4 linked regions of the Styela clava genome follow. The protein of the gene in region 1 purifies or fractionates together with the protein of each later gene. This does not show direct contact. Links are inferred from orthologs where the notes say so. Each region holds a gene or a part of one and is shown in the gene's direction. Other genes may lie near its edges. The genes, in order: anaphase-promoting complex subunit 15-like, anaphase-promoting complex subunit 2-like, anaphase-promoting complex subunit 7-like and cell division cycle protein 27 homolog.

Evidence for each region.
Region 2: the proteins of anaphase-promoting complex subunit 15-like (region 1) and anaphase-promoting complex subunit 2-like purify together in Homo sapiens (affinity purification with mass spectrometry; 4 studies listed by BioGRID and IntAct, with this or other methods). This does not show direct contact. The link is inferred for Styela clava from reciprocal best matches to the Homo sapiens genes ANAPC15 and ANAPC2.
Region 3: the proteins of anaphase-promoting complex subunit 15-like (region 1) and anaphase-promoting complex subunit 7-like purify together in Homo sapiens (affinity purification with mass spectrometry; 3 studies listed by BioGRID and IntAct, with this or other methods). This does not show direct contact. The link is inferred for Styela clava from reciprocal best matches to the Homo sapiens genes ANAPC15 and ANAPC7.
Region 4: the proteins of anaphase-promoting complex subunit 15-like (region 1) and cell division cycle protein 27 homolog purify together in Homo sapiens (affinity purification with mass spectrometry; 3 studies listed by BioGRID and IntAct, with this or other methods). This does not show direct contact. The link is inferred for Styela clava from reciprocal best matches to the Homo sapiens genes ANAPC15 and CDC27.

The regions. Positions count from the first base shown.
Region 1 is NC_135263.1:6,344,581-6,352,039, reverse strand, and holds the start of anaphase-promoting complex subunit 15-like, read left to right. Parts: upstream 1-4,447; 5' UTR 4,448-4,463; coding exon 4,464-4,583; intron 4,584-5,189; coding exon 5,190-5,249; intron 5,250-5,670; coding exon 5,671-5,793; intron 5,794-7,409; coding exon 7,410-7,459. Other genes in the region: NADH dehydrogenase [ubiquinone] 1 alpha subcomplex subunit 9, mitochondrial-like, read left to right, coding at 2,717-3,994. UniProt on the Homo sapiens protein: Component of the anaphase promoting complex/cyclosome (APC/C), a cell cycle-regulated E3 ubiquitin ligase that controls progression through mitosis and the G1 phase of the cell cycle.
Region 2 is NC_135254.1:19,227,774-19,235,393, reverse strand, and holds the start of anaphase-promoting complex subunit 2-like, read left to right. Parts: upstream 1-4,618; 5' UTR 4,619-4,757; coding exon 4,758-4,808; intron 4,809-7,620. Other genes in the region: placenta-specific gene 8 protein-like, read left to right, coding at 1-132, 1,528-1,638. UniProt on the Homo sapiens protein: Together with the RING-H2 protein ANAPC11, constitutes the catalytic component of the anaphase promoting complex/cyclosome (APC/C), a cell cycle-regulated E3 ubiquitin ligase that controls progression through mitosis and the G1 phase of the cell cycle.
Region 3 is NC_135257.1:7,648,324-7,656,342, forward strand, and holds the start of anaphase-promoting complex subunit 7-like, read left to right. Parts: upstream 1-4,996; 5' UTR 4,997-5,094; coding exon 5,095-5,213; intron 5,214-5,402; coding exon 5,403-5,597; intron 5,598-6,187; coding exon 6,188-6,322; intron 6,323-6,640; coding exon 6,641-6,821; intron 6,822-7,610; coding exon 7,611-7,792; intron 7,793-8,019. UniProt on the Homo sapiens protein: Component of the anaphase promoting complex/cyclosome (APC/C), a cell cycle-regulated E3 ubiquitin ligase that controls progression through mitosis and the G1 phase of the cell cycle.
Region 4 is NC_135260.1:19,715,382-19,722,504, reverse strand, and holds the start of cell division cycle protein 27 homolog, read left to right. Parts: upstream 1-4,100; 5' UTR 4,101-4,304; coding exon 4,305-4,331; intron 4,332-4,758; coding exon 4,759-4,834; intron 4,835-5,857; coding exon 5,858-6,005; intron 6,006-6,937; coding exon 6,938-7,123. UniProt on the Homo sapiens protein: Component of the anaphase promoting complex/cyclosome (APC/C), a cell cycle-regulated E3 ubiquitin ligase that controls progression through mitosis and the G1 phase of the cell cycle.

The DNA.
Region 1 (7,459 bases):
GGCATCGAATCATTGAGTTCGCTCGAAATACAGCAAAATCTGATTTTTCGTCAATTTTTGAAGGGCCATATTTTATTAAGTTATGTTCCGCTGTTCATCATACTTTGGTGTTAGACACTTGACTTGTACATGTGATTGAAATCGTTGTTAAAAGTTGTCGGCATATAAAGCAACATATTCGAATTCGGCCTCGATATATCGAGTACGCATCAAATTTCAGAAAATCTTGTGTTTGACCTGTTTAGGGCTGGGCATTTCGAATCGAATATTCGAATCGAATCGAATAGTAAATTATTCGAATCGGTTCAGACTGGAATTTCGAATCGCCGCCATCTTGTTTTTATCTTTCCGCTAATGGTCGAGGTGAATTCCCCAATTTTTTTTCATTGAAGTCATATTTTTTCAACGAAATTCTAACATATGACTATTTTCTGTAGTGAGTTATTGATAAAACGTGTTTGTTATTCTGTGTGAACGCTCAGTAATCTATCTGAGTGATTTATTTTATGTCTTCAGTAATTCATTTGTTGAGAGGACCAATTACTATGATAAAGTCGCTTACAATTTTATATTTTCAAGTATTCGAGATTCGATTCGATTCGAAAAAATTATTCGATTCGATTCTGAAATCACAAGGTATTCGAAAATGCCCAGCCCTACCTGTATTTGAAGCCCTATAAATCATAAAGTCCCGCTTTGTTCCCTTCAACTTTTATTTATAATACTTTTCACTATTGCTACTATTCAAAATTACTGTTAAAAGTTGTCGGCATATTGCGGATCATATTCGTATTCGGCATCGAATTATTAAGTTCGCACGAAATATAGCAAATTATGATTTTTTGTCAATTTTTGAAGGGGCATATTTTGTTAAGTTTTGTTCCGCTGTTAATCATACTTTGGTGTTAGACACTTGACTTGTACATGTGATCGAAATCGTTGTCAAAAGTTGTCGGCATATAAAGCAACATATTCGAATTCGGCCTCGATATACCGAGTACGCATCAAATTTCAGAAAATATTGTTTTTCGCCTGTATTTGAAACCCCATAAATCATAAAGTCCCGCTATGTTAACTTCAACTTTTATATATAATACTTATCCCTATTGGTACTATTCAAAATTACTGTTAAGAAGTGTCGGAACTTTGCGGATCATATTCGCATCTGGTCTCGAACCTTAGAGTTTGCATGTAACATTGAAAAAAATATTTTCCGATATTTTTGTGTTCCCATCAAATGTAGCCTATTTTTATTTTATATTATTTTTCATTCTGCAAATATATTCTAATACGTTTTAGTTTTTCTGTTTTATGTGATATACAGTTATGTATGTTGTAATTACCACTACCAGCTAAATGTGCTTAAACTTATATTTCGGTCTGAGTTGTTTCCTTCGGAACATATTTTTCCAAATAGGATCCATTTATCTCTTATAAATATTGTAATAAGAGATTATTTTCCGCATGGGAACCGGTTGAAAACTGCAGAATATTTTTCCGCTGAAATTCCGCTGAATTCACAGTGGTGAATTTGCTGACCCCATTTTACATTTCAGATTTTTTGAATGAACGTACAGGACAGGCAATTACAGAATTTTAGTGGTGCATAGTGGAAATACAGGTACAAACAATTTTTTCCTATTACAGTATTATTCATTTCTATGATTATAACTCTGTCACATTTAACACATTTGTGGGCGTTTAAAAAAAAAACACAGGTAGGTAACCGGTAGCCATTCTATTGGAGTCTTACGATTTTAGTGTGGACCCGTTTATTTCAGTGAAGATGTATCCATTTTAGTAGAAACATACCGGTACCGTACTGCCGCACCGGTTCGAGAAATGTATCATTGCTTGATTTTTATAAAAAGTCATTTCTTGAAGGAAATCTCTATCCGAATTTGACTAACATACTAACCATGAGAAAAAATTCACATCGATGACTGGAAGTACATAGACTATACGTGCGAACAACTAATCTATTTCCGAAAATGGACATTGCAAAGAACAATCAGAGAACTAGAATTAGTGATGCCCATTTACAGATTTAGAAAATGTTTTAATCTTGGCTTCTTCCAGTGCATCACCTGACTGCCTGATGTCAGGATGTTGAAAAGCTATCAAGCATACGGTAATGCAGCAACAAGTGTCAAATTAAAAGTCATTTGTAACTTTTTGCCTATAGTCAGATAGTGACCCGGCTTTGAGTCCACGAGTTGCGCAGTGTTCGCTCGCTATTTAAAATCTAATATTTCAACTTCTGAACTGTGTAAAAAATGTGATTCATCAGCCACTCGTTCGGTTTTTACCTTTCTTGAAAAAATATGTGCGGTTCGCCAAGATTTTTAACCCTTACTTTTGGCCTGGGAGCAACAAATGTAACCGACCCCTAGTCTATGGCATATGGTGTGGTGTTTTCTCATTTTAAAATTCTTGCAATCTTTTTGAACATGATCATCATTTGCAACTTGCAACCCATGGGGGCTTTCTCAAGATATTCTCACTTCTATCTGAAGTTTGGAAGTGTGGTTTTGGCTATCATTTGGTAGGTACCGATTTTAAAAAGGTCATGTTAGAACCAATCTGATGTTTCAGTGTTTATATTACAGTATTAGTACAATATTAATGCTCTTGTTGCAGTTTGATATGTTATTATTTTCAATTACAGATGGTTTAATTTTACGAAATTGCAAATTTAATGTAGAGTAAGATAACAATGATTGCTAATCGACTTGCTTTAGCTGGATGTGGTAGCCGTGCTCTGTCAGCTAGAAATGAAGGAATCGCAGCTCCTGCTCTTATTTTAATACAAAAAAGAAATGTCCATGAATCTTATATACCTTCTGGTTCCGGTGGAAGATCATCATTCAGTGGTATTGTCGCGACTGTTTTCGGAGGAAGCGGATTTGTTGGACGAATTTGCCTCAACAGATTGGCAAAACATGGAGCAAGTGTGGTAGTAGCACATCGATCCCCATATCAATATGTGAGACATTTGAGGCCGATGTTTGATTTAGGACAACTGTTAATGAGGGATTTTTGCATGGAAGATAGTGATGACAGAATTCGTGAATTGATTCAACATTCAAATTGTGTCGTAAATCTTATTGGAAGTAACAAGCCTTATCAAAATTGTACATTGGAGAAAGCAAATCTTGAATGGCCGTTACGATTGGCGAAGATTGTTGCCGAAAAAAATGATGGCACTCGTCTTTTGCATATCACCAAACTTAATTGTAATCACGAGTTTGGTAGAAAAACCTCCAAACTTCTGCAACTCGACTACGCAGCCGAAGTGGGAATTAGGGAGATTTACCCCGAAGCAATAATTGCAAGGTCTTCCAATGTTTTTGGATATAATTCTACATACACCAATTTTTTTGTTCATGAAAGACAAGAAGATTTGGGTAAGTTTGGTGGGATGCCCTTGCTTTATGATGGCGGAAAATCAACAATTATTCAACCAATCTATAGCGGAGACTTGGGAGAAGGATTGGCCAGGATTCTAAAGCATTTAGATTCACCTGGGAAAACCTTTGAGCTTTATGGTCCACGTCGATATGTACTTAAAGATTATGTTGAATACATTTACAAGATCATGGATAAACCCTGCTATTTATATGATACCTTGGGACCTATGGATAGCAGCAAGGCGAACTTCGTCCAAAAAAAATTGCAGAAATTGGTGACACGATATTTTGAAAAACAAGAAGAACCACGTTTTCTTTTTCCAAGAGCTGTTGACGTAATATCAAGATTAGGAACACCATTGGAAAGTTGGGCAACAAAAGATTATTTTGACATGATTCACGTCACAGATAATCGCACAGGGCTTCCAGGATTAGAGCAGCTTGGAATTGAACCCACGCCATTTGAAGATAAATCTATGCTCCTACATGGTTATTTACATCTTTGGGACTCTTTCACTATTCAGTCAAAGCACACTTTACCAAATATCAAACAACAGTCGACCTATTTGCCAAGAGTAAAATGAACAGCTATAAAATTGTTTTTCGTGACTGGGGTTTCTATTACTGTTATCTTTTATTATAGAATATAATTATTTTCCATTATTCGAAAATGTTTGGAAATTAATTAGGCATACTGTGGTGTATAGTGTACCAACTTACACTCATCAAGGAACATTTTTTGACAAGTTCAAATTTTTCTCAAAATGTGTTTATTTATTTACTATCCATCTCTAATGCTTTCAGTGTGTATTCTAATCAGAACAATAATGCTGTATAGCGTTGTCAATTGCTCTGAAGTTATTAATTTTTGGTGCATTCATCAATTATCAACTACTCCAAAATAAACATATTTTTTAACTTTTGAATTTTGGCAACACTAAATAAAATTATTACTTTATGAGTTGACTATATGTTTCATTTGTGTGTCATTATCTTTAGTATTATAGACAGAATATCTCAAAATAAATACGAATTATTACGATATGTTTTGAAATGTCAACAAGATTTCCATTATTTGAATCTGAAACAACTGGTGACTTGTGGTTTTCTGTTGATAAACCAAGGAACGAAGAAGCTGATTTACAAGCTGAAGAACAGAAATACGAGAATTGGGTAAATGGTTGCTTGTTCATAAGGTTTGCTATCTGTAGAGCCAAATATCTCAAGTTTGTAGAAATTTAGCATACCATGTCAAAATTGCACTGTCAATGTATTCCACGCCATGTGGTTGGCGAAATGCAGGCTGGAATCTTGTGGACAATTAATGTGTTCTACTGAATTTCTCGACTCCTTGCCGCCTGCCATAGGGTGGTTAACCTAACCGCTGGTCATTTATGGCTTCCTCCACCATCAAGTCTATGCATTCGAAACAAATACCTATTCCCATACCCAACATGGACTGGTAACCAGATGAGAGACCGTGGTTCGCCATCAATTAAACCATCTTATTGACTTTCTATTCCTCAAGATAAATATGAAAATCTTTGCTTAAACTCAAAGCAGAGAATGTGAAAAAATTTTGTGCTTCAGGTATCTATAGATTTCTCCTATTTTCTCAGTCAAACATGCCCTGTTATAGAATGTATGTAAATATTCTAAATTTGAAAATATTGTTTCATGAAGATTCAAGGTTGTAAATTTGAGTTTGCAATCTGCCCATGTTGTTTTTTAAGTATCAATTGTTTGTTTTGGCAAGTTTTAATTTCCATATTTTTCCAGCTAACATCAGTCATAAAGAAGGATAGTGACACACCTTACATTGGAGAAGCTGCTGGCAGGGTGAGTTGAAGCATTGCTCTTTCTTAGTGGTGTGACTGCGTTATAGATGAAACAAGTGCTTCTCAAAATTTCATGTTTTATTTTATCAAAGAATTTCAATACTTCATGGCCTATTGCTTTTCTATAAAAACACCTGAATTACCTAGTTTTGCTTTTACTGGGTTCCCATCAGGCATTTTATTTTATTATTATTGAGTATAAAAGTAGGAGAATAAATTCATTATAGTCAATTTACGTTGAATTAGTTTCAAATTGTAATCATCGTACCTTATAAAGACCTTTAGTCATGGCCTCCAGAGAATCTATCCTTTGCCCCCTATCAGAACCTAGGACCCAGCATGAAAAACCCAGGTTCATCTACTTACTCACGAATGAAATTGGGTCTATTATCGAATTTAATGTTATTCTTTCTGCGTTATAGTATTGTGGTTTAAATCCTGGTGAAGACGATTCTGATGATGACACTGATGAATCTAATGAGGAAATGGAAGAAGATGATTTAAATGAACTTCCTGATTCTCCTGATGAACAAGTTATTCCCGAGGTTAGTGTATTGTAGTGTAGTGTTGTAAAACACAGTGTATTAATATTTCTTGGATTGGGTCTGCATGTGGCTGATGTCAAGAGCTCTGTCAGATGAGATAACAAGCATCAGAATAATATATTGAATTTTTCAGAGTTGTGGTGTCAGGAGTCTAAAATTGGCATGTTTTTATCATATCATGGTTGGATCTGGAGTTGTATTTTAAATTCATTGAAGAATTTCGGACTTTAGACAAACTTTAAAATCATAAAGTCAACTGGGCATTTTCAACAGACAATTGTCACTCTCAAAAGTTTTTGTGGCTAAAATTCGATTTTCTTGATGTCTGTCTGGTGTTTAAATTCTCTTTGAATAGAATTCAGGAACAAGGGTCTGACTCTGAGCCAAATGTTTTGTCAACCGGGAGTGGTAACTAAACTTATTTCGTAAATGGTTGAGAGTTTGGAGTCTTTGAGTATAGTATGAATTTAACCCAACCTCACAGTTCTGGTATTCCTGGTATTCTTATTCCACATAAGGGCCATTCCAAGCAAAAGTTGAATTCCATCAATTTTTTAAAAAGTGTAGTGAAAGTAATTTTTTTTCATTTCTGATATTAAAAGACATTGGAATTTTATTGGACTGCATTCTTTTCATCGAACAATTTAAAATTTCACTCAGGTTTTTGATGGTTTATAAAAAATGGCCTGAAATGTAGAAATTTTGGTATAATTGACATATTTTGTGATGATTCCTGACACAAAGTGTTTGATTGTGTGGTACAGTTATTTCATATGGAATTGACGCACTGGATTTAAGTTAATAAAGTTTAAATGTTTGCAGTGCTGTAGGACATTTCTTCACCCATTTAACGATTTATTACCAGAATTTTAAGAAATGATAGTGGTCGCTATTTCGAAGTGGAAAAATGTCTTGTAGTGTCACGTCCTGTTGTGTCACATACAATATGCACTTTATTGGCATGGATTTACAGTGTTACATTAAGTAACTTGAGCAACACATAAAGAGGTAGTTCAGCTACTGCACCAGAAAATATTATGGGCTCCTACTGTACCATCGCAAAAATTTACAGCACAACACAACGTACTGTTAGTGCATGTTGGATTTGCCGTCCTGTAGTGTCACGCTATATTTTACTATATTTTTTTTTATCTACTAAGTAAGTCTTGGGTGTAACTTTTGTTCAATTTTTTACATATTCAATAAAGCAACTGATTGGACAATGTAACAAAACATGTAGCTGAAAATGTAAAAATATATTGCATCTAACAACTTGCAAAATTTCTGGAATTGTCCTGTAGTGTCACTTGGAATAGCCCATAAATAAATTTTCATTAGATTCAAGAATACCATGTAAGACCTTTGCATTCTTTTTCTAAATTATTGTTGTGACTTGACAATAGTTCAAATTTTTTATCAAATTTTAGGAATCTTGAGTTAGCATTTTTTTGAATTGTTGCAATTTTTTGGAACACTTTTTAGACTTCATTCCCCCTAAGTATAATTAACAGTGATATATATATTGTTGCAATTTTTTTGGAACACTTTTTAGACTTCATTCCCCCTAAGTATAATTAACAGTGATATATATGTAAATAATTTTTTTATCTTTCCAGATTGACATGGATGATAATGCAGCGCCAGATGATACTTGGATGAATAACAA
Region 2 (7,620 bases), on another chromosome or scaffold:
TATTTCTGTTTTCCGTGCTTCTTCTGTAACCTCGCTACAAGGTTTGGAGATTCATGTGCGTATGGTTGGTGTTGTCCTCACCATTTCGTAACAGTTGCCCGTCCGTATCTCAGAGCCAGACACAATATTGTTGTAAGTTGTTATTCAATTGACTTTAGAAATGTTTGCAATGTTAAATGCTACTGTTTTAGATCTTACAGTAAATTATCTGACATGTAGATTTCTATCGCACACTATATAAAATTGTTGAGTGCCATAACCAGTCTTTTAACTGGTACGAGCAAATTTAGTACAGCTAGTGCGTCTTAACGACCTTTACTGTGAGGCAAAGATGTTTGTTTTGACAAGAGAAGTATCTCATTGCAACCTTTCACGACAATGCAAGATCTATATATAATTATACGATGATTGGTTACCCCTGATAGTATTGTGTTGATGTTAAGTTGCACTATATACAGGGCTGCCATCGATATATGAACCCAAAAATGAGAACATCAGGAAAACATAATAATAAGATAACAAAGAACGAAATGTAATAAACAATGTTTTTACGTTTACCATTTTATCTTTTATGATGTTCCAAATCTAAACTAAATTTAAAATATAATTTACCGGTATAGTCGTGTTTTGTCTAAAGCACTGATTATTGAATAGCTAGAAAGTTCAAATTTAACGCGTGTGGAAATGCTCGGGGAAAAGACAGTCGCTCAGAACGTCAGAAATTAATTTGTTCAGTCGCTTAATGAAAATTAATTTGCTCTCATGTCATAAATGCGCGAAGCAATCAATAGGTTCTAATATTATTTCTAGCAAATCAGTCATTCGAAATGACCAAACTAAATGCCCGGTATAAAAACTTCTACCCCTAAAATAAAAAAATAAGGACACATGTCAAATGAGGACGTTTCTTGGAAATAAGCACAGAAATATTTTCTGGGACAAAGACCTTCAAAATAAGGACAAATCTTAGAAATAAGAACGTTATGGCAGCCCTGACTATATATAATTGCAAAGACCTACCTATGATGTACTTAATGAATGAAACTGACAAAATTTAATACATTAGTACCTTTATCATTAAACCGCATTTATTAGAACATAGGGACATTATATGACCAGCATATAATAATGCTCTAATAGTCTAATCCAGGGGTTTAATTTAATATGGCGAGTAATCACTTTGCGTTGCAAACCTATACCTACCAATAAGTAGTACAATTTATTATCTATGCCCATGACGTTACTACTAGAAAGCTTATGTCAAATCAAGACGCGGCCCGCGGTTTCATCCAGTATTTCATATCTGGCCCGCCTGTATCAAAGGTTGCACACCCCTAAACTATAATAATTTCATTTTGGAGTAAATAATGAAGTGAATGAAATTTGGGAACAATTAACTAGAATGTCTTTCCATATGGCGAACTAAAAGTTGATATATCTCTCAAATCTCATTTCACACGCACAAAAAATTGGATTATACCGACTACAGATCTCTATTTATTAACATTTTTCAATATCTGTTTTAAGGGTGGACTTTGTGATGATTGTTGCGTGACTTTTTGCTGCACTCAATGCGTCCTGTGTCAGATTTCAAGAGAGATGGACCATCGTGGATATCCGAAGGGTTGCATGTTTTAGTTCAACATGATGTGACAGCAGCAGTAGTGTCTGTACATATACCATCATTTTTCTTCAAATTATCTAAATACGTGGTGCTAACTATAACCCAGGGGTGGGCAAATTACGGGCCGCTGGCCAAAGTGTTTCATCTGGTTCACTCGTGTCTTCTGAAATTACGACTATAGTTTTTATAGATTAAAATTTCTGTTGAAAATATCGAGAAAAATAATAAATCGTCGGCCAAAATAAATGCCGTAATTACCCACGCTTTGAATATAATGTGTAAAACGAGCCACATATACAAGCGGTCTGGGAAATTAGCACAAGCTAATTCGAGCCTGATATAAACAAGCGTTCGGACGAATGCAGGACTCTACATCAGTCCTATTAAGCAATTGTGCCACTCGATAAACTAGCTGTTCGTTATTACATTAGCTGTTACGCTAGTTATTTGTAAATGAACTGTTTTTTTTTTATTCATAGTTTCATATGGAGCCTCCGGCCCAGTATCCAAGTTCATTATCTGTAACTGGTCCACTCAGGAAAGTAATTGCCCACCCCTGATATCTCCCCTACTTTTTATGTACATAAATTGCCAGTTTGTTATACACTGACCTATCAACATTCAATGAAAACGAATTGACACGAAACGAATTGAAAAGAAGGTCCTCGCGGAAATGAAACTAGTCACCACACAACTCAAGTCCCAAAGTCGCAGTTTAAGCAGTCGCTAAACAAATAAATAATTTTATTGTATATGTAAGAAACGAAAAGCGGAAACCTAGAATAACACATAGCGAACAAAAAAATTTGTTACAATTGGACCCGAATATCTGATTTGATATTCGCGCTTATTCAACCAATTCCCTTTTTTACTAAATAATCAGTTTATTGAAGAGAAAGCTATTTTTATCGATCTAAATGACCAGGCGAAAAATTATGACATTTTAATTATTGTGCATTTATAATTTAAAAAAAAAGGTATACATAACAATGTTGTTCATATAATTTTGAATCATCAGACCAGTATAAAAAATATATTTATAAGAAGAAAAAAAACGCATACAAATTTTCCTAGACACTCGATGACTTTATCTCTTTCTTCTTATTATAAAATCCCATACCAACCTATACATTAATATACTTTTGGTGATTTACTCACGACAAGATTTCATGCAACGTTTCTTATGTGTCAATGCCAAGGTGATTGGTGATCTAGAGTCGTTTAACTTTCTATTATATGGGGTAGGATCCTATTTATCCCGGGGGAGAGGAAAGCCCGTAAGACGGATTAACCATATGGCGAACCACGGCCTCTTGTCCGGTTACCATTCCATGTCGGATATATATCGGATTAGTTAGTTTTCGTCAGCCTGAACTTAATGATAGAGGAAGCCGTAACCAACGGTTACGTGAACCACCGTACGGCGGCGAGGAGTCCACGAGTCCAATCCTCTCGCAAATAGCCATCCCTGCATGGGATTCGAACCTGCGAACGCACGCAGAGTAATCAGAGGTGTGGTGGAAAGCGTATTCTTAACGCTCAGCATGATGAGCCACACCGCCGCTTCTTTGTTAGTTAATATTTCGGCTGCATCACATTGACCTAAGACGGAGTTCAGCTAGCTATAGACATTCCGGTAATATACGTTTTAATATTACAAGAAGACAGAATACGCAGACTCTACTCAATCTGATGTCTGTCTATAGTAACTATAATTCAGGGTCACCATATTTGAAAAAGCAAAATTCCCTACAGTGCATGACTATTTTCATGACCCCGTAGTAAGAAATATCCGCACGGTACGAAATAACAATGTTCTGTATAAGCAGTGTGCACAGTACGATTGCAGATGCGGATTCAGGACATTTGAGCATTTTTTTAAATTCTTCCCGGATGCAAAATTTAACCCATTTTCCGGACGGTATGGCAACCCTCAACTATATGAATTGCTAAATGGTATTCAATATTTTTGTTATCACCGGTTCAGCCGCCATTAAATTCGACACTACCATAGCGAATGAGAATAGTAACTATGACGTCACAGTTAATTAATTGTCAATGCGGTCCTTTTTCTGAGATTTTCTGAATGCGGCCCATGCAAAAAAGAAAACTTTGCCCTTGAAGGTGTCACGCATGCCACAAGATTGATGACATGTTTTCCGCCCTAGCTCAAGAATTGGCTTTTGTTGGACACGAAATGGCCATATGGCTATGGTTCATTTTAAATAAATTGTTGTTGTTGTACTTTTCTTCTAATCGTTGTCCTACAGTAGTTTGAGATTGTTGTTGTCGATTTGAAGAGTATTCCTTTAATAAATTTCATCCAGAATTTCGCTCTTCTATTTTTATTCATGGAAACAAGGCCTTTAACACACCAAGCGGAACGACCTACGGTAAGAACATCTTCAGTTTTGAATTTGCGAAGTCAGTAGTCCTACTAGCTCAACGTAACTTGTTTGATAGCGAAATGCCAAATGAATAGACTCACAACTGTAGTATCAATTTTTTTTTTACAATACTTTAACTTTTACAGTAACTCACCATACGTTGCCTAGTCCAGTGGTTCCCAAACTTTTTGTACCATCGCTCCCCTACAGTAGTTTATACAACTTCATCCCCCCCCCCCCCCGGCACTGCAAAAAAAATTGAAAGTCTGAAACGAATATATTACAGACCAAATAAGAAGACAGATAATATTTTATAGTGTTTTCTAATGAGATGGATGAGCTTGGTGTTCTATGTGAATCAGCTTTTTGGTGTCGCTGCTTTCGAGGTCACTCGCGACTCCTGTCACACAATTAGGGCCTTCTGGAGGAAAATTTCATCTTTAACCACTGAAAATTTCAAAGCAATTGGTCCAGTGATCGAAGAGAAAAGCGGTTTTTTAATATTTTCACTAGATGTCCAAAAAGTGTCAAAGAACACCAAGAACAACATAACAACAAAACGATCGTTATGTCCACTAAACGTGTCCAATAAACAGAGAAGTCGATGTTCTGGGAAACATCCATTACTTTGGTTATCGCTATACTTGGATGATTTCGCTAGAACGAATTCCATCGGGGGAATTCCCTAAATGGAACACAAATCTTCAAGAAAACGCTGAAAGTAGGCCTATGGTCAGACAGTCAGAATGGATTTGGATCTTATCTTCGAAAATGCCGTCAGATATTTGAATTTCAATGTAAGTTAAATAAGCATTTTTAAATTTCCGGTTGGTTTTAAATCTGAAAACTGTTCGATAACTTACCGGTATTGTCCAGTCTAATTGCCTAACTTCGGACACATATCGTACCGTAAACTGCCATGTTCTTCAAATTATCTTGACTAAAAAGCGCCGTATATTGATCAATTATTATGTTACGTTTAAATCTAATATTAACTTTTTGTGAATGTTGCATAATTCTGTAATTAATTTTTCATTAAAAAACGGAAAATTTTGCTGGTAAATGACACATTCAAGGACACAGAGCGTCACTCCTACTAGTCAAAATACCGGGTCTCATGTAGTTTCTTACCTAACATACTTCTAGTGGGCGTAGCATGACAATTTTTTCGCGTATCAATCCTAACCCCCACCTGACTACACCATCCAAAAATTACGTCATCACAACGTCACAGTGACGTAATAGAGCCCTTCAAACTATACGAACTGCCATCCAAGACGCGCAAACGAGCACCCGAAATCGAACAGTTATTTCTCTCGTTTTCTTGTCGCAACGATTCCAATAGGAGAGAGACCAATAACGTCAGTCAGTTCTTTATCGTCGGCACCAATGCCATTACGGTCGATCGTGCGTATATTTGGCAAGCTCTATGACTGGATTGTGATGTCGTAGCGATTTAATTTTTGGATGGCGTAATCAGATGGGGGTTAGGATTGACATATCAAAAAATTGTTATGCAATGCCCACTAGAAGTACGTTAGGTACGAAACTACACGAGACCCAAAATACCATCATTAGATAGAGGAAATTGAAAACCATATACCGTATTTTCCCGAAATTACGCCAATATCGAGAATAGGCCGACTCCCTAAAAACGGCCTTAATGACAACGATTTTATAAAAAATCGCACGTAAGCCGGTCCTTCGAATTGTTACACGCCGGACGCTTCAAGAAAAACGTAATAGAGAACAAAATTACTGTAACGCAAACATTTCTCACGTTTATCGTTTCTGCACGTTAGCGAGGGCCGTAGGTGGATTATTACCCGTAAGTCTTACTTGTTAATTTATGTTAATAAAGTCTATATTGCTTTCCAATGTGTCGTGATTGTGTCGGGAGTTTAAAATAGAGTTCCTGAATCAGCATAAAACAATTTCCTTTGATCGCCACAACGAAGATTAATTTCGTTCCTTGTCCGTTTCAAGGAAAGAAATAACGCTGTATTAACACATTCTTATAAATCACTACGAATCTTAACATGCCAGACGCCTTAAGAAAGGCGCAGAAAGAAAACAAAATTGCTGTAACACAAATATTTCTAACGTTTATCATTTCTGTTTGTTAGCGACGGCCGTAGATCCTTACTCGTAACTCTTACTTTATTGCTTTTCATGCGTCATGATTTGTATTAATGGAAGGGATTGTTGTCGGGAGTTTAAGAGAGTCCCTGAGTCAGCATAAAACAGTTTCCTTTGATCGTCCACAACGCGGTTAATTTCGATAAGAGTCCTTATCACCGCCCTTTAACGAATAACATATCCATATCGTAAAGGTGATTAAAATTTGTGCGCCGTTAATTGCCTCTACGGCGAAAGTGCACCAAATAATAAAGTTTTCGCCATGAAACAACTGACCGTAAATCGACACTGTTGCTGTTATATAAAAGAAACACAAGCGAAAACAAACAATCACAGCCTGCACAAGCGTCACATGTTAAACAACCAATCACAGACTGTACAAGCCATTAGCTGTATGATAAGACAATCCACTTTCACAAGCGAGTGTGTGTGCGCGACACTTTTTATCGTGAGAACTTGGTATGGTTTGAAGCTTTTGGAATTACCGGCAAGTCAGCATAATATCATCTCGTTGCGTGATCAAATTCTGATACGTGAATGAGCCGATTTTTTTGGTGCAATCTGAGTCTTGCGTGTATAAGACGGTCCCTTGGTTTGGCAACTTTTTTTTTGAGTTTTAAACACGGCCTATACGCGATCATATACGGTAAATCATGAGAGGCGACATGTTGTACAAGTAAAACCTAGAATTCTGATTTTTAGATTTCGCAAAAAAAAATTGAGGTTTGATGCTGCGCCAAAAGTTACATCAATCTCATGTAGATCATTTTTTGGTCACCTACCTCAGGGGTTCTCAAACTTTTTGTGTTGCGGAGCCCTTGAAAAGGTTGACTATAATTCACGGAGCCCCAAAATAAATGTTAAATTGTTACTTTCCAATTAATATTCCTGAGTATAAGTTAAAAGTACTTTACTTAATTTAAACTGTAAATTTGACACTTGGCAAACATATTAATAATTTAGGGGTCGAATCTTTTCCCTTTTGACATTTTTGGAAGATATAAAGGGCCGCTAATAACTTGCGCGATTGCATTTTGTTACAATTGCCGTTTGTTTTCGTCAGCATGGCGTGTTTTTAAACCTCAAACATCTTTACGCCAGTGTTTATTCTCCCTAAATCGAAAATTTCCTTTGGCATATACATGTATTGTTCCACAATGACGACAATAATTGATTTTTTGTTCTCGTGGGAAATTATGTGTTCAATGTGAAAAAAAATATTATGGTGATAGGCGACGGAATGCTAAAAATAATAATTGATAAAGAGGTAAATCCGCAACTCAAATATCTTGATCGAAAAGCGGCATTCTAAAATATATATTAAAACTAAAACTTAAAATGGAAGATCACACTATAAGTTTGGTTTCAGCAGACCTTAAAACGCTTTTATAAACATTGTTAATCACAAATTTTGGTGTTATGTTAGGTTTTCTTTGGTTATTCATCGTAGTAACTGCGAAATCGAAACAA
Region 3 (8,019 bases), on another chromosome or scaffold:
AGAAGAAATAGATATCCTTACTGAACGCCAATACGACCAGGAGCGTAGGTCAAGGCTGGATAATTTAGAATTTCACAATATACCCTACTCGCGTGATGAAGATTGTGAAAAATTAATTATGAAGGTAGCAGCACGAATAAATGTACCGCTGCAATCATCTGACATATCAAACTGTCACCGGATGTCAAAAGAAAACAACAAAAAGCCTTCACCAATTATTGTTAAATTTGTACGCAGAAAAACAAGGCATCAAATTCTAAAAAATCGTCGCCAACTGAGATCGGCCAATTTTCATGAAGATTTTCAGCATTTTACAAGATCTACTAGAATATTCATCATAGAAAACCTTAATGACAATAACAAGGACTTATTTTTTAAAGCAAGAGATCTTAAAAAAGAATGTGGATATAAATATCTATGGACACATAATGGAAAAGTTTTAATAAAAAAGAACGAAATGACAACTACCATCCCCATCAATAACGAAGATGACCTTTCTCTCATCAAGTAGGTCTATTGATTATAAATATTCATACATTGTATAGTCAAAATAATTTTATGTATTACTCAAACATATATCAAAAATACCGGCCATTTATTTCCAGCCTGGAGAAAATATCTCTTACATTTCATACATGGCTTTAGCAAACGACCCTCAATTAGCTTATTCCTGTGACATTGAAACGTGCAATAATGTAGGAGTTGTTGATTTAAATTCTTCTCAATCATTGTCTGACTTTTGTATTTTCCATGTGAACATTCGATCCCTGCAAAAAAATATTGATAAATTAACAACCCTATTATCTAATTTCTCATCCCCTCCACAAATAATTGCGATAAGCGAATCAAAGTTATCGTGTAACCCTGTTTCCAACACTAATATTGATGGGTATAGCTTTATACACATGCCATCCATCACAAAAGCAGGTGGTGTTGGTGCTTATATTCGAAACGATCTCATCTATAATGAAATTTCAGATTACAATCTCAATCACTCCAACTGTGATAATATATGGTTTGAAATAAGTTTGGCCAACGCAGTCAATAAGATAATTGTTGGTGTTATATATAGGCATCCTCGTAATAATATTCCAAGCTTTACTAATGCATTTGAAGCATCTCTTGCTAAATTGGCAAAGAAACAGTTTTTGATACTAGGAGATTTTAACATTAACTTACTTACATTGTCAACTAATGCCCAAATTGCAAATTATGCCGATATGTTAATTTCTCACAATGCCAAGTCATTAATCACTAAGCCTACTAGAGTGAGCAGTACATCATCAACACTTATAGATCACATTTATACTAATATTTCAAATTTTAGAATCAAATCTCATGTAGTTCTCTCAGACATAACAGACCATTTTCCTGTTATGTGTTGCCTCAGTGGCATAAAACCAGCCCATACAAATTATGTCAAAATAGCAAGGGACATGTCAAAATTCTCGATCGATTGCTTTCGCACAGATACACAAGTAATTTTTCATAATTATATTGCTAGAAACAATTTGAGTTCCCAAAACTTTGATGGTGTTTTCAGCGAATTTGTAAAATCTTTTGTTCACCTGATTGATCGCCACGCCCCGCTTCGACCACTCTCACGTCGTCAAAAAAGGCTACGATCAAAACCATGGCTAACCAAAGGGCTGCTTGCTTCTATTCGCCACAAAAATAAGATGTTTGAATCCCACTTTTTGAAAGGGAACACTTCCGAACGCTCCTATTTCAAAAAGTATAGAAATGTTTTGATTAGAGCCATAGATGATTCAAAACAAACCTATTATCAAAACCTTATTGCTAAAAACAAAGGTAATCCTAGGTCAACATGGCAAACAGTTAACGAAATCACTCATGTAAAAAATAAATCTAATCAAAAAGTTAACGAGATCGATATTGAAAATGGCTCTATAATTAGGGATGAACTTTTGATTGCTACAGAATTTAATAAGTATTTTTCTACAATTGGGTCTAGCCTTTCAGGCAAGTTTTCCACTGAACAGGATAGCTTTAAACAATTTCTTCACAATTGTATAAACCAGTCCATCTTCATGAGCCCAGCGACTACAAATGAATTGATAATAGAAATACATAATTTGAAAGACAGGAAGGCAGTTGGTCCAGACAACATACCAGCACGTTTCCTTAAATTAGTTGCTGATCTCATTGCACCATGTTTGGCTGAATTCTTCAATTGTTCACTTTTGTTTGGAATCTTCCCTGCATGTCTCAAAATTGCCCGAGTGATCCCTCTTTTCAAATCTGGCATTAAAAAATGTATGTCAAATTACAGACCAATTTCAATTCTTTCATCAATAAGTAAAATATTTGAGCGTTTGATTCATAAGCGACTCAATGCTTTTTTTACGAAACATGATGTAATAAATAAATCACAGTTTGGCTTCCAAAATAATCTATCTACATCACATGCTATCTTAGACACAATATCATATATCTACGATAAACTAGAGAGGAAGGAGTTTGTCAGTGCAACATTCCTAGATCTAAGGAAGGCCTTCGATACCGTAAATCATAACATCCTGATTTACAAGTTGAGACATTTCGGTATCAGGGGTACAGCAAACAAACTCATTTCTAGTTATTTAAGTAATAGATCACAATATGTTCAAGTTGGGTCGTGTCGTTCCTCTCCCTTACCAGTGACTCACGGAGTTCCTCAAGGTAGTTGCTTGGGTCCTCTTCTATTTCTAGTCTATGTAAATGACATAACTTGTTGTTCCTCCTTCTTTACCAAATTGTTTGCTGATGATACCAATCTTCTCGACAGCGACAAATCTTGTGCAGTTCTTCAGTTGAGAGTAAATTCTGAAATTGCGAAAGTATCAAATTGGATGCGGTCTAATAAACTAACACTGAACATTGGCAAATCAAAAACTATGTTAATATCTCCACACCAGTGCAAATCTAAAAATGAAACAGTAATACAAATTGATGACAAAGAACTTGAAAATGTCCATTCTTATAAATATCTTGGCATATATTTAGATAGTAAAATGAATTGGGATGTTCACTTATCCAAATTATCCGTTAAATTATCTAAATCGGTTGGAATACTTTACAAGCTTAGACGATTTACATCACCAACAACACTAAGGATGGTGTACTACTCCTTATTCCAGAGCCATATCCAATACGGCATAATTGCTTGGGGTTCAGCTGTTAAAACATTATTACATCGCATTGAAATTATGCAGAACCGAGCAATCCGTGCAATATCTGCCGCTAGTTATTTTTCACGACTCAGTCCTATTTATTATAACCTTCAAATTATTAAATTGGCAGACATTTACAAAATAGAAGTTTTGAAATTGATGCACCAACACCACTGCAAAAAACTCCCTCCTGCGTTCACAAACTATTTTTCAAAACAAAGCAATGTTCACTCATATGGAACACGGTCCTCTATTAGCAGTTCTTATTATGTAAATCGTTTTAGCACCAAACTCACCCAAAACTCAATCAAGTTTGTTGGTGTTAAATTGTGGAATAATCTCCCCAATAGCATTAGGACCAGTACCTATAACTTGTATAAACATGCACTGAAGAGCCTATACCTAGATGCTTATAAGCCCAGTTGCAATTAGTCTAGAAATATTATATTTGTATACCGGTATGTACTGTACCTATCCCTGTGGTGCTGCTTTTCCCATCCATGTTCGTCAAGTTGTGTGCTCGCTGTGTACTGTTCTTGTTTTAATATTTTCCGCCCAACCTATATGCCACGAATACTGCAGAACCCATAATTATTCTGCACTACTCTAATAGCCACTAACAATCGCTTTCAACATAAAAATCCGTTAAATACGGTATTGATTCTCGCAGCCAGAAGCCCGTTGCTGGGCACGCCATATTGGTTTACTGTGTATGCTTAGTCAGCATTATTTCGCAATTCTTTGTTGTCATTGAGGCATATCCTTCTTACAGATGTCGCTGTTAAGTCATATAATACGATGTGATCATTGTAGTATCTCGGTGTTTATTTCGATTTTATTTTGTTCTTACTCTGTATGATCGAGTTTAATTAGGTAAATATCTAATACTCCATAGTTATTATGACATCCTGTATTTTATTTTTCAAACTTTGTTGTTCCTTTTTGTGATTGAGGCTAATTAAGTGAATGTTTAGGTAACTTTTCGTGGTCATTGTGGCATTCTTTTTGTTGTCCCTTTTATATATATGATTGTGTCGAATTTAGTGACTATTTAATATTGAGTTGTTCGGTTGCTATATTTGCTGCTTCAATGCAGCTACAAGGTGTCGCTGACTGGATGACTCTTTGAGTCTTTCGCGATCCCTCGTCTATTGCAACAAGCCGATATCTGTCTTCGTAATTTGTTATATGTCTTTTTTTATTTTTTCATATCGTATATTGGTTTTGCATGACGAAAATAAAATCTGAATCTGAATCTGAATCATTGGGGTGTCAAAATAGGGCTGGCGAAATGCGGTCGTTGCGTGTTAAATTAGGGGTGACGAAATAGGGCCGTCGAGTCAAGTTAGGGCTGACGATATACGGTCGGTGCGTGGCAATTCAGCATTTATTTTCACATAATTTTTTGGCGTTGTTTATTGAGCACTTACGGCAGTACGACGTATACAGATCCTTGTACCACATGCATTATTCCTACAGTCCTATATAATCCATTCCGTTGCTTGTCCAGTTGGATTGACCAGACACAGTCTAGCAGTCTGACCAAAAGTACAGAAAAATGCATATTTTTGTATTTATGCTAGGGTGACCGATTGCTCCAAATTCTCATTGTTTAAAATGTCTCTTTATGTCTATTTTCTCCAGTCACGTGGGATATCGTACCATTCTATCAGATATATAACGGTATGACTTATGTAAAGGAAATGTGACAAATGACTTTTAAAAACTATGACTGCATGTCTGCATGTGATAGAATTCCTCAATGTGGCAATAAGAAGGTTCAGAATTGAATAGTAAATTGTTCGAATCTATTCAGATGAGAGTTTCGAATAGCCACCATCTTGTTTTGTAGGCTATATATTAAATACTATATTTTTAATTATCGTCTAGCATCCTAGTTGAAAATCATATTGGTAATAAAATGTCGACTACTTCAACACAAAGCCTCATGAGTCATCTGAGTCAACTTCGATCAGAAAAACTCAACGCATCCTTGGAAATATTATGTGGATTTCTTGCGACTGCAATCAAAAACAACAGGTGCGTTTTGAAAACTTTATTTACCCAGTGCAATATCATTTTTATTCTGTGTAACTTTTAAATTTCAAACCCCAAAAATAAAGCTTTTTTTCTGGTTGAAAAAAATATAATGCAACCTAAATTTATTTTCTCGTGTGTAATGGAATTGGTGAAGGCTTCATTTAATTTACCCTATTTTTCTTATTTCAGTGAGACTTATTCACCAGCAAATCAATATGAAATACTTCTGCATCAGGCTGATGTCAATTTCAAGAAAAAACATTTTCGAATAGCAGAGTCAGTTTATCGACAAGCAATAAATGTGAGGAAAAATGGTCTCAAACAGAATCAAAAAAATGTTTCTAGTTTCAATAAATTACCTTCAGAAGTTGATGTGAAATACAAGTAAGTTAGTCTTGTTATGTTTTTAGTGTTTTTAGTTAAGAATTAAAATATTTTAACAAAGTATGGAAATCGTTCGATACTAGGCTAAATTTGAGTGGTAATTATGTTAGGATAGGATAGTAGTATTTACATATTTATCTCGGGGGAGAGGAAAGCTGATAAGACGGCTTATCCATATGGCGAACCACGGCCTCTCGTCCGGTTACCTTTCAAAGTCGGGTATGGGATTAGTTATATTGTTTTGTTTTCGGAGGCATGGACTTGGTGGTGGTGGAAGCCGTAACCGACCAGCGGTTACGTGAACCACCCAACGACGGCGAGGAGTTCAGCAATCCTCTCGCACATAACCATCCCTGCATGGGATTCGAACCTGCGGACCCACGCAGAGTAATTAGAGGTGCGGTGGCGAGCGTATTCCTAACGCTTAGCCCGTTGAGCCACACCGCCGCGCCTATGTTGAAGTTGGATTTACTGAAAACATTATTAGTACTTCTCTCAATGACCCAGCTTCTGTTGATATGATGTTCTGTTGTTATGATTATATGAATTTAGATATTTTAGGATTGAATGACTGGAATTTTGTTTTTCAGAATACATGTTTGTTGTCATAACAATGATGATGATCATAATGCGATTAGTATTTTGGAAAGCATTCCAATCAAGTACAGAACTGTAAAGATAAACTATGCTCTTGCTCAAATTCATCACAAGCTTGGAAGAAAAAGGTATTCATTGTGCAAGTATATTCATTGTGTACAACAGCAGACAAAATATCAACATTCGATATTAAAATAATCTTTGAACAACTTGTATTGCATATCCTTATACACAGAAGGAATAAGGTGCATGAGGATAGATCATTGTATTTTTGGACAATTTCACAAGAAATAATGGTTTTTCTTTGGTAGTAATGAGAATATTCGTATTGGTTAGTGCAAATTGGGCATTCAATGATTTCAATCCCTAATTCAGATTCCATGTCATTATGTACCTTCACTGTTTCACATTACATTACCCTCCATGTTACATCTCAATTCTTTCAGATCGGCGATATTATCATACAAAGATGTCTTAAAGAAGATGCCTCTTGCTCTGGATGTCATATTCAGTCTTCTGTCATTGGGAGAAAGTATAAATGAAATTTTATCTATTGTTTCCAATGCTGCTCAAGGCTTAGATTGGTTTTTACCTCTCATAAAAGCCCATGCATTTTTACACTGTAAGGTATGTTTTGGTGTAATTTACAGACTTCTAAACCTGTAGACGTTTCGGCACGGGGTCAACCATCCGAACCATGAGGTGGCATAAGATGTGGACAAATACATGTGGATTTATATGATATTTGGACATATTCACCAGAGTAACAACTTATACCAGTCAGTAGTGACCTGTCGGCACTGGTACAATCCGGATTCTAACTATGCATAAATGTCCTATAAATCCACATGTATTCGTATATTATTTTTACATTTGACTGAAAATCAAACTCCCTAATTCTAACCGTCCTACTGAAAGTCTGTGATCTGAAAAGTTCATGGGCCTGTATACCTTTTGGCTTACACATTATACTTTGAAGTTGTGCTTGTTAAACAAGACAAGTATAATACTGATTTGGCAAATGACTAATATTTTAAAATTTGTGTTGATTATGGTGTATTATCATATAAAGATGAATTTTTATATGCGAGATCACTTAAAAATCACTAATGTACTAACAGGGAACATGACCCGAGTGGTACCATTTTTTAAAATTTGTGAAATTCATGAGTTTGAAAATTAGATATTTTATACAGCATATTTATATTCCTTTCACTCCGAACAAGGCGTTGTACAAGCAACTACAGGATTTGAACTCGAGATTCTAATCTACGATTCCACCATATTCAAGCTCCATGCTTTATTAATAATAACTCCTGCACCACCGTGCCAACTTTCATAAACTTTCTTTTTATTTACATTTTCATCTGATGAATTTGTTATTAGGCTCGTTTTCCAAACCATTTCTATTTTTAGGAATACTACAATTGTTATTCTCACCTCAACATATTAATGAAAAAAACTGCTATTGCTGGTGATGCACAGGTACACTGTTCTCTTGCAAAGCTGCGTGCTCGCACTGGGAACAACAAATCTGCAATCGTTTATTTTGAAAGTGCAAGAATGAATAATCCGTTTCTACTTGATGGCATGGATATGTAAGTAAATTATGTCTATCGCAAATTATTAATAAGTGGTAATAATCTTGGGTTTTGCTCCTTTTATTTTGAGGTGGTTTTCACACAATCACTCTGAATAGAGAGCACTCAAGAAAAGATAGCTACAAAAATTAGAACTAATTGAATTCATTCTGTTTGGCCATCTACTCAACTTTTTAGGTGAAACAGCTAGGCTTACTTACCTGTGTGAAAAAAAAAATTGTTAT
Region 4 (7,123 bases), on another chromosome or scaffold:
GTTTTGTCTGCTTTCCCGAAGTTTCTGTTAATATGTCATTGTATTTATCTGGGTAAATATTGCCTTTCCTTTTGAAAGAGGTTTCAAAATAAACTATGTCTATATTTATTAATCCCTTGACTTGGACCGGTTTTAAAGACACTTTCTTATCGTTGAAAATTGTCGCTTTTGCCGATTGGCTGTTACCGATGGAATGGTTTTTGTGCTCATAAAATGATGGGAGAACTTACAGCGCTCATCCTATCCCCGTAGATGGGGGTGACTTGGTCCCGCAGTAGCTTGCCCCGGTTGTCAAAATGACCACGCGCCGCCACTGGAAGGCGGTATTGGAGGTAGGATATCATTTTTATCCCGGGTAAGAGGGAGGCGGCTTACTCACATAGCGTACCACCACAGCCACTCGTACGGTTACCAGTCTATGCATGGGATTAGTTAGCCGGCTATTTTGTTTTGTTGTTTTTTGTTGTTGCAAGGACTCTAGGGTTGGTTTATCAAAATATTTAATCAATCAATGACGATATAAAACTGCGATAATTGTAATGGAAGGTCTGACTACGGGATACGTCCGGAATAGCAGGTATGGTGGAAGAGACAAAAATATTCATTACAAAATTCTCTCTAAAACTGAAAAATTGTAACCTAATCAGTCTTATTGGGTTACTGGTCTTTCGGATGCAACTGCAAACTCAATTCACGGATCGTTTATCATAACAGACAAATATTTCACCACATGCAATAAACAAATTCTCATTGAAGTTCCCAAACACTGTTCCACAACTGATTAAATAACCAGGTATCGAAATACGATAAAACATGAGCAATCGACATATTAACTAATATTTCAATTTGCTCACTGAATTTCCAATAAGTTAGAATCCTTTTAGGGAATAAATGAATACTTGCTGTCTGATTCTGCTGTTCTGATCTGATGAAGACATACACCTGGTTCCGAATACATATATTGCAATTGTATAATTTACAAATACAAAGGACAGTTCCAAATCATGACTGATAAGCCAGGCAAAATTACCAAGTTGCACTGCAGGCCCGAGGTTCGTTAATTACTTGTCCGTAGTTATCCTTTTTTCTCCTAACGAATGTTCGCTTTTATGCTGGTTTTAGTATCCTCAGAGCATGACGCGATATCGTCATGTAACCTATATAGGACGTCTGATTGTTACGTATTTTACGACTAATAGATTGCTTCTAATTTTAGGATTAGAATGACTTAAGTTAAAACACGAACTATCGAGCAAAAACAGCTGATTTACCCAATATTCTATTTCTATATCCTTTCCACGATTTACAAATTACAAATTACAACCAGCAATCCAAAGATGTCGGGATTCCGTCAATCATTTTCATATAAAAAACAATTTCATTGTTAAGAGGAATTGTATCATACTTAGTCCCATAAATGGCAAATAAGAGTTGAATACATATCTTCGCGAAGTTTAATAAGCTTTGACAGTCGTCAAATATATTCTCAAAAGTCGTTGTGAAAGTTATGTATATAGCAGGGGTTCTCAACCTTTTTCCTGTTAAGTACCTCCGAGTCGTGAAATAATCAACTCGAACTCCCAGTAATCAGACACCAAACAAAGTTGTAAATTGTAATATATTGACTAATAATTTATAAACTGTTTTTCAAAGCAGTAGTTCCCAGCCGCTGGCCCACGGACCGGAAGCTTTTTTGTCGTTCCGCGAGAAATTTTTATGTGTTTTTCAACCGTCTTAAATCGCTTTACCGAACGCGAAATAACGACGTTGGGTTTGTTCATTACGCTATTTCTCTTTCGCCAACCTATTGCTGTTCGCGGTATTAAAGACGTATTGGCGCCGAGTAATCACACTTCTCGCTTTTTCGGTTCCGATTCATCGCGAAAGCATCCTTCAACCTCGCGAGATTCAGAAACCCAAAGAATGACACACGTGTTTTTTCTGTTCTGCATGCTTTTCCTGTTCGATATGAACATCCAAATAAAAGGTTATGAATATTTCTTTGTTTAAGGCAGAAAACAGTCGTTGACAGTATAATATCCCAGGGGTCCGCCTTGACATCTAGTAAAATATGAGCTTGTTGCGACCCCACAGGTGGTCACGAGGCGCACAACAAAATCATGGGCCGCAGAGATCTTTTCCATGTGATGCACAGCAGGATTGTGTACCTGGTGCCAAGTTAACGATGACCTATTCATCTTAATGTAAATTTTGTTTGATGCGTTGATTAACTGCAGAAAGATAAATATGAGATCAGCTGACCAACAAAGCATCTATGTCTTCTTCTGGGCCAAGTTTGATTCACTCATTTCGGTTTTTGGCCGACGCATTATTTGTTTTTATACATGTAAAATGTTTTCAAGTGTGCCTTCTTTATCTAGAAGCATAGTGGGTGCCCAGCATTTCGTTATATTGCGCAAATATATATATGTTATTATTTTCTCTTCCACTCATTTCAATTTTTTGTCGGTCCGCGAGTACATCTTATTCAATTTTATCGGTACGCCATAAAGGTTGAGAACCACTGGTTTAAAGAATATATGAAGGAAATAGCAACACATGAAAACTCAACTGCCATCCTAGTACCCCTAGAAAGCTTCTCGTAAAGCCCTGGTATATATATAGTATTGGAAATCACCTATCAGAGAAGCCGTTTCGAATGCACAAATATCTTGTATGTCTTACTCAATATTTTCATGTATCCTTTACCAAAGACAATTATCAATGTTGATTTCAATAAATTTATAAAAATAAAACTCTTGAGATACCTATATTTGGAAATTGACTGCGGTCCAAGGTTTTATTCGAAAATGAAATCATTTGAGATGAATATTTCCATTTTGATGGTTTGCGTTTATACGTTAATGTTTAAATTAGGTGGCCCACTGTATTAAAGGTTGCACATCTCTGGTTTAAATAATTCCAGTAAGAACGTGGTCGGCATAATCCGCGCGATGCTACTTGGGTTACCTACATTTTCCTTTTAAGAAGACTTTATTTTGGAATACTAAAGAGAGAGATTTTTGCTATAGTGGAAAATTATAGTAAAACTATTTATATTGCGTGACTCTATTCTAAATTTAAATCAAATTGAAGCTTATAGTAACTTTGTAGTTTTCATAGGTGACACGGGGAAATAATTTTTTTTAAGCAGATAACACGCGCATATAATGGGTGCTCACATTGCAAGAAAGACAATAAAAACTACTTCAGTGTCGAGACTCAACGGGCAGATTTTGCGTTTTCTTGGGAAGGTTGCGGGTCGGAAAGGTCGCGGGGTCGGAGCGTACCGGTAGTTGCTAGTTGCTTGTACTGATACGGGTCTTACTACTTACTGAATACAGCGCGAAACACCGCAAAGAGCGCAAAACAGCGCGAAACAGCGCAAAAGAGCGCGAAACAGCGCAAAATAGCGCGAAACAGCGCAAAAGAGAGGAAAACAGCGCGAAACAGAAGGAAACCAGCGCAAAACAGAGGGAAACAGCGCAAAACAGGAGACGTAGTCATTACCACCTCCTGCCACGAAAGAACCACGGCGCCTCTCGCCATGGTTTTATGGCGCTATTTCCGGCATATTTACAAGGTTATGTACCGGATTATAGGTCACCATGCGAAATTTTATCTACCTTTTTGGTGCTCCAGAAGTATGTGCAGCAATATGTCGCACAACCTGAATCCGCTACACACACACATACTCTTTTCAGGTTGTGCGCCATCTTGGTGCACATACTTCTGGAGGTCCCTTTTACCTAACCCTAACCCTAAAGCCAACCATATCCATATGGAAAATGTTCTAAATTATGGTACCCAAAATGTGTCACCAGCAGGGGCAGACCTGTCATTACAGCATTACTGGCTACATACGTTGGTTTGTGTTTTTAATTTGCTGCCGTGGTACTCCAACTCAAAACAAGGTGCCCCGAACTCATTGTAAAAATTTTTTCTGCTTCACACTGTTTCCCTCTGTTTTGCGCACTTTCGCGCTGTTTTGCGCTGTTTCCACACTGTTTTGCGCTGTTTCCCTCTGTTTTGCGCTGTTTCGCGCTGTTTTGCGCTGTTTCGCACTGTTTTGCGCTCTTTGCGGTGTTTCGCGCTGTATTCAGTAAGTAGTAAGACCGTACTGATACTGTATTGCTGTATTAATAAGTACCGAACCGTATAAATTCATTTGTTTATATCCAGTCTTTGTAGCAATCTGATGAAAGTTTCTCCAAGTTAGAGTCCAACGCCCGATTAATGAATACCGGTACCGGTACAACTTTTTGGATTAATTTGATTAACTTAGTGTATACCGGTACAGGATTATGACGATCATCCAAGAACCAATCAAGGTAACCACATCGATACAGTTTATAACATTAGTATTTGAATATTTTGACCATCATTTACCTCAAAGAACTGTAGAACACTTCCAATTGCAGAATTGAATGTTTTATTGCTGTAATGCAAATCAATCAATGGTTGAAGCAGTCAGTTTTTCCTGTATTCTCCAATAATTTTCGCTCTTTGATATTTAAGCCTTTAACGAGATACTCAAGGCAACTATTAATACTGTCCGACTGTAGGACAATAATGTTTTTACAATTATAATCTGCAAACATTGACTTTCAGAAGACACATTTTTAATTTTTTGTAGCGATTTTTATTCATTTCTTCAGTGTCGTCAGGTCAAAAAGTGATTAAAGGATTATATAGCCTAAGATTAGTTGGTATCATAAAGTTGTAATTAATAAAGTATTATACATGTCTTAATTTCAGGCTGCAATATGGCACTCTCTCAACCATTATGCCTTTGCCGATGCAATCTTTCTGGCAGAACGACTATTTGCTGAAGGCAGGTTTCTCATATTTTTTATTTAAGAAATTGCAAAAAATATCAAACAGATTGATGTAGGAAAAATAGTAATTGTGAAAATTTCATAATTTGATTTATCAAGCAAAATTCAAAATATGACATTGTGGGCCAAACCATCGAACAATCCCTTCAGTCACAACACAAGAAAAATAAAGTGATATCATATTATTAAATCCTTGACAAAACAAAATTTCATCTAATTGTGGCATAACACAATGTCAAAAAGGTGAATGATGCAAGTTTCAAAATATGAAACTCATTCAAAAATAATGGGATACAAAGTCTGTTACGTGAATATGTTCCATGGGCTGTCCGTGGCCTGTGGACTGTATGCTGCATGGTTCTTGACTATACATATCGTTTTGTATTGGAGTATAACTAGTAGCAATTTGGGATATCTATATTCAGATAGTTGAATTGATAATCCAAATATGCAATTCTTATCTTGTTTATTGTGAATAAACTTTTTCCGACAGAATTGTCATATCATATTCTAATAGTAGTAAAAATCATAATATTAATGTAAAAATATCATGACTTACTATGATCATTGCAACAGAGAGATATCAGTAAATGGTGGTTGTGATAGGACTTAAAACAATTCAAGCTGGCACTTTCATAAAGCAGATAAATAAGAAGTTTTACGGATAATCTTTTAATACAGAAATTTGAGTTTAAAATTTTTGAACCTCTCAGTCTGTGAATAAATAGCAGCTAATGTAGTGAAACAATTAAAACTGATTCTGAGTCCATTACGGTTCACATGAACAAAGTTAATTATAACGGCTAATGAGCCAAGATAAATCAAATTTCATATTCGGGAAAGACATGACATAAATGGCATAACTTTTTGGAGTGGTTCTTTGTTTGTCCCTACATTTTACCCAAGTGATTCATTTTTGCAAACTATGAAATCTTACAATATTACAAGCATACAAATATAAATCTTATTACCTCAACCCACCCTCCTATCCTGTCTAATATAAACTTTTTTTATTACAGTTGCATCAAGTGATTCGCTCTTCTTGTTGGCGACTGCTTATTACAGATCAGGAAAACCTAAAATAACACAAATGCTACTTGATAAACATGGGATGACGATGCCTGAATGCAAGTTACTTTATGCACAATGTGCATGGGAATTGGAAGAGTAAGATTTTTTTAAACAAACACTCTTGGTAGATTGTCATTTACACTTGATTAACTAGACCAGGGTGGTCCAAACCCAGGCCCGCGGGCCACATGTGGCCCGACGCTCCATTATCTGTGGCCAGCGCCGTATTCGGAGAGTAGGCCTAATCAAAATATCGTATTTTAAATTGCTTCTCATGAAATAAATCAGAAAAATCGTTTAACATATTGTTGTTATATCACTACTGTGACTGAATTGACTAGTTACACTAGTATGATGGCTAGCTGAAGCAACTAGCGAAGTTGAAGATGTGATGGGCAGTCTAAATCGTATTGGTCGGGAATATATGCTAACAATATAGGCATGGTAGAAAACTAATTGGTAGAAAACTAAATCGGATGCGGATTCCATTAGCCTAGGTTGGCAACTATGTGTTTACACAATAGAAGTGCTTGTTTTGTATTGCACTGTTTACCTATTCTTGGTACTATTGTGGCCCGCGACAAATACCAAAATAATTTTGTGGCCTGTGGAGCCCACAACCTTGGACCACCCTGAATTAGACCTTAGGTAAACTGCTATTGATTTCTGAATTTATGTTGGAGCTTTGAATAAATAATTGATCACAGGTATTTTCTTGTAATCTAGTTTATTGAAGGTAATTTAATGCTTGACGCAAGTCAGAATATAAGTTCACTTTACTGTAGCAGTATTTGGTGGAAGTCTCTTTACCCCAAGCCATGAGCCAAGTCTTGGTCGAGTTTGAGTCAATTATTGGGTCAAGTCTAAATGGCATAGATAACGATTTTTTTCAAAAACGCGAGTTACTTTTGAGTCTTCAATAAATGATTACCCTAGTTGAGTCGGTTACTCGAGGCATCCTCATCCTCATTATGATTGCAACCTGTATTTCTATTGTTTTGATACTAATTTGATACCATTTTTTTCAGGTATGCCAAGGTAGAACAAATTTTCGGACTTAATTTTTCACCAAGACAATTGAATGGATCGCAATATATCACCAATATTATCAATGATATTCATTCTGAATTTGGTGAATCATCATGTTTTGCTCTCAGTTTACTCGGAAGAACTTATCTTCGAACAGAACGACCTGATCTTGCTGAACATTGTTT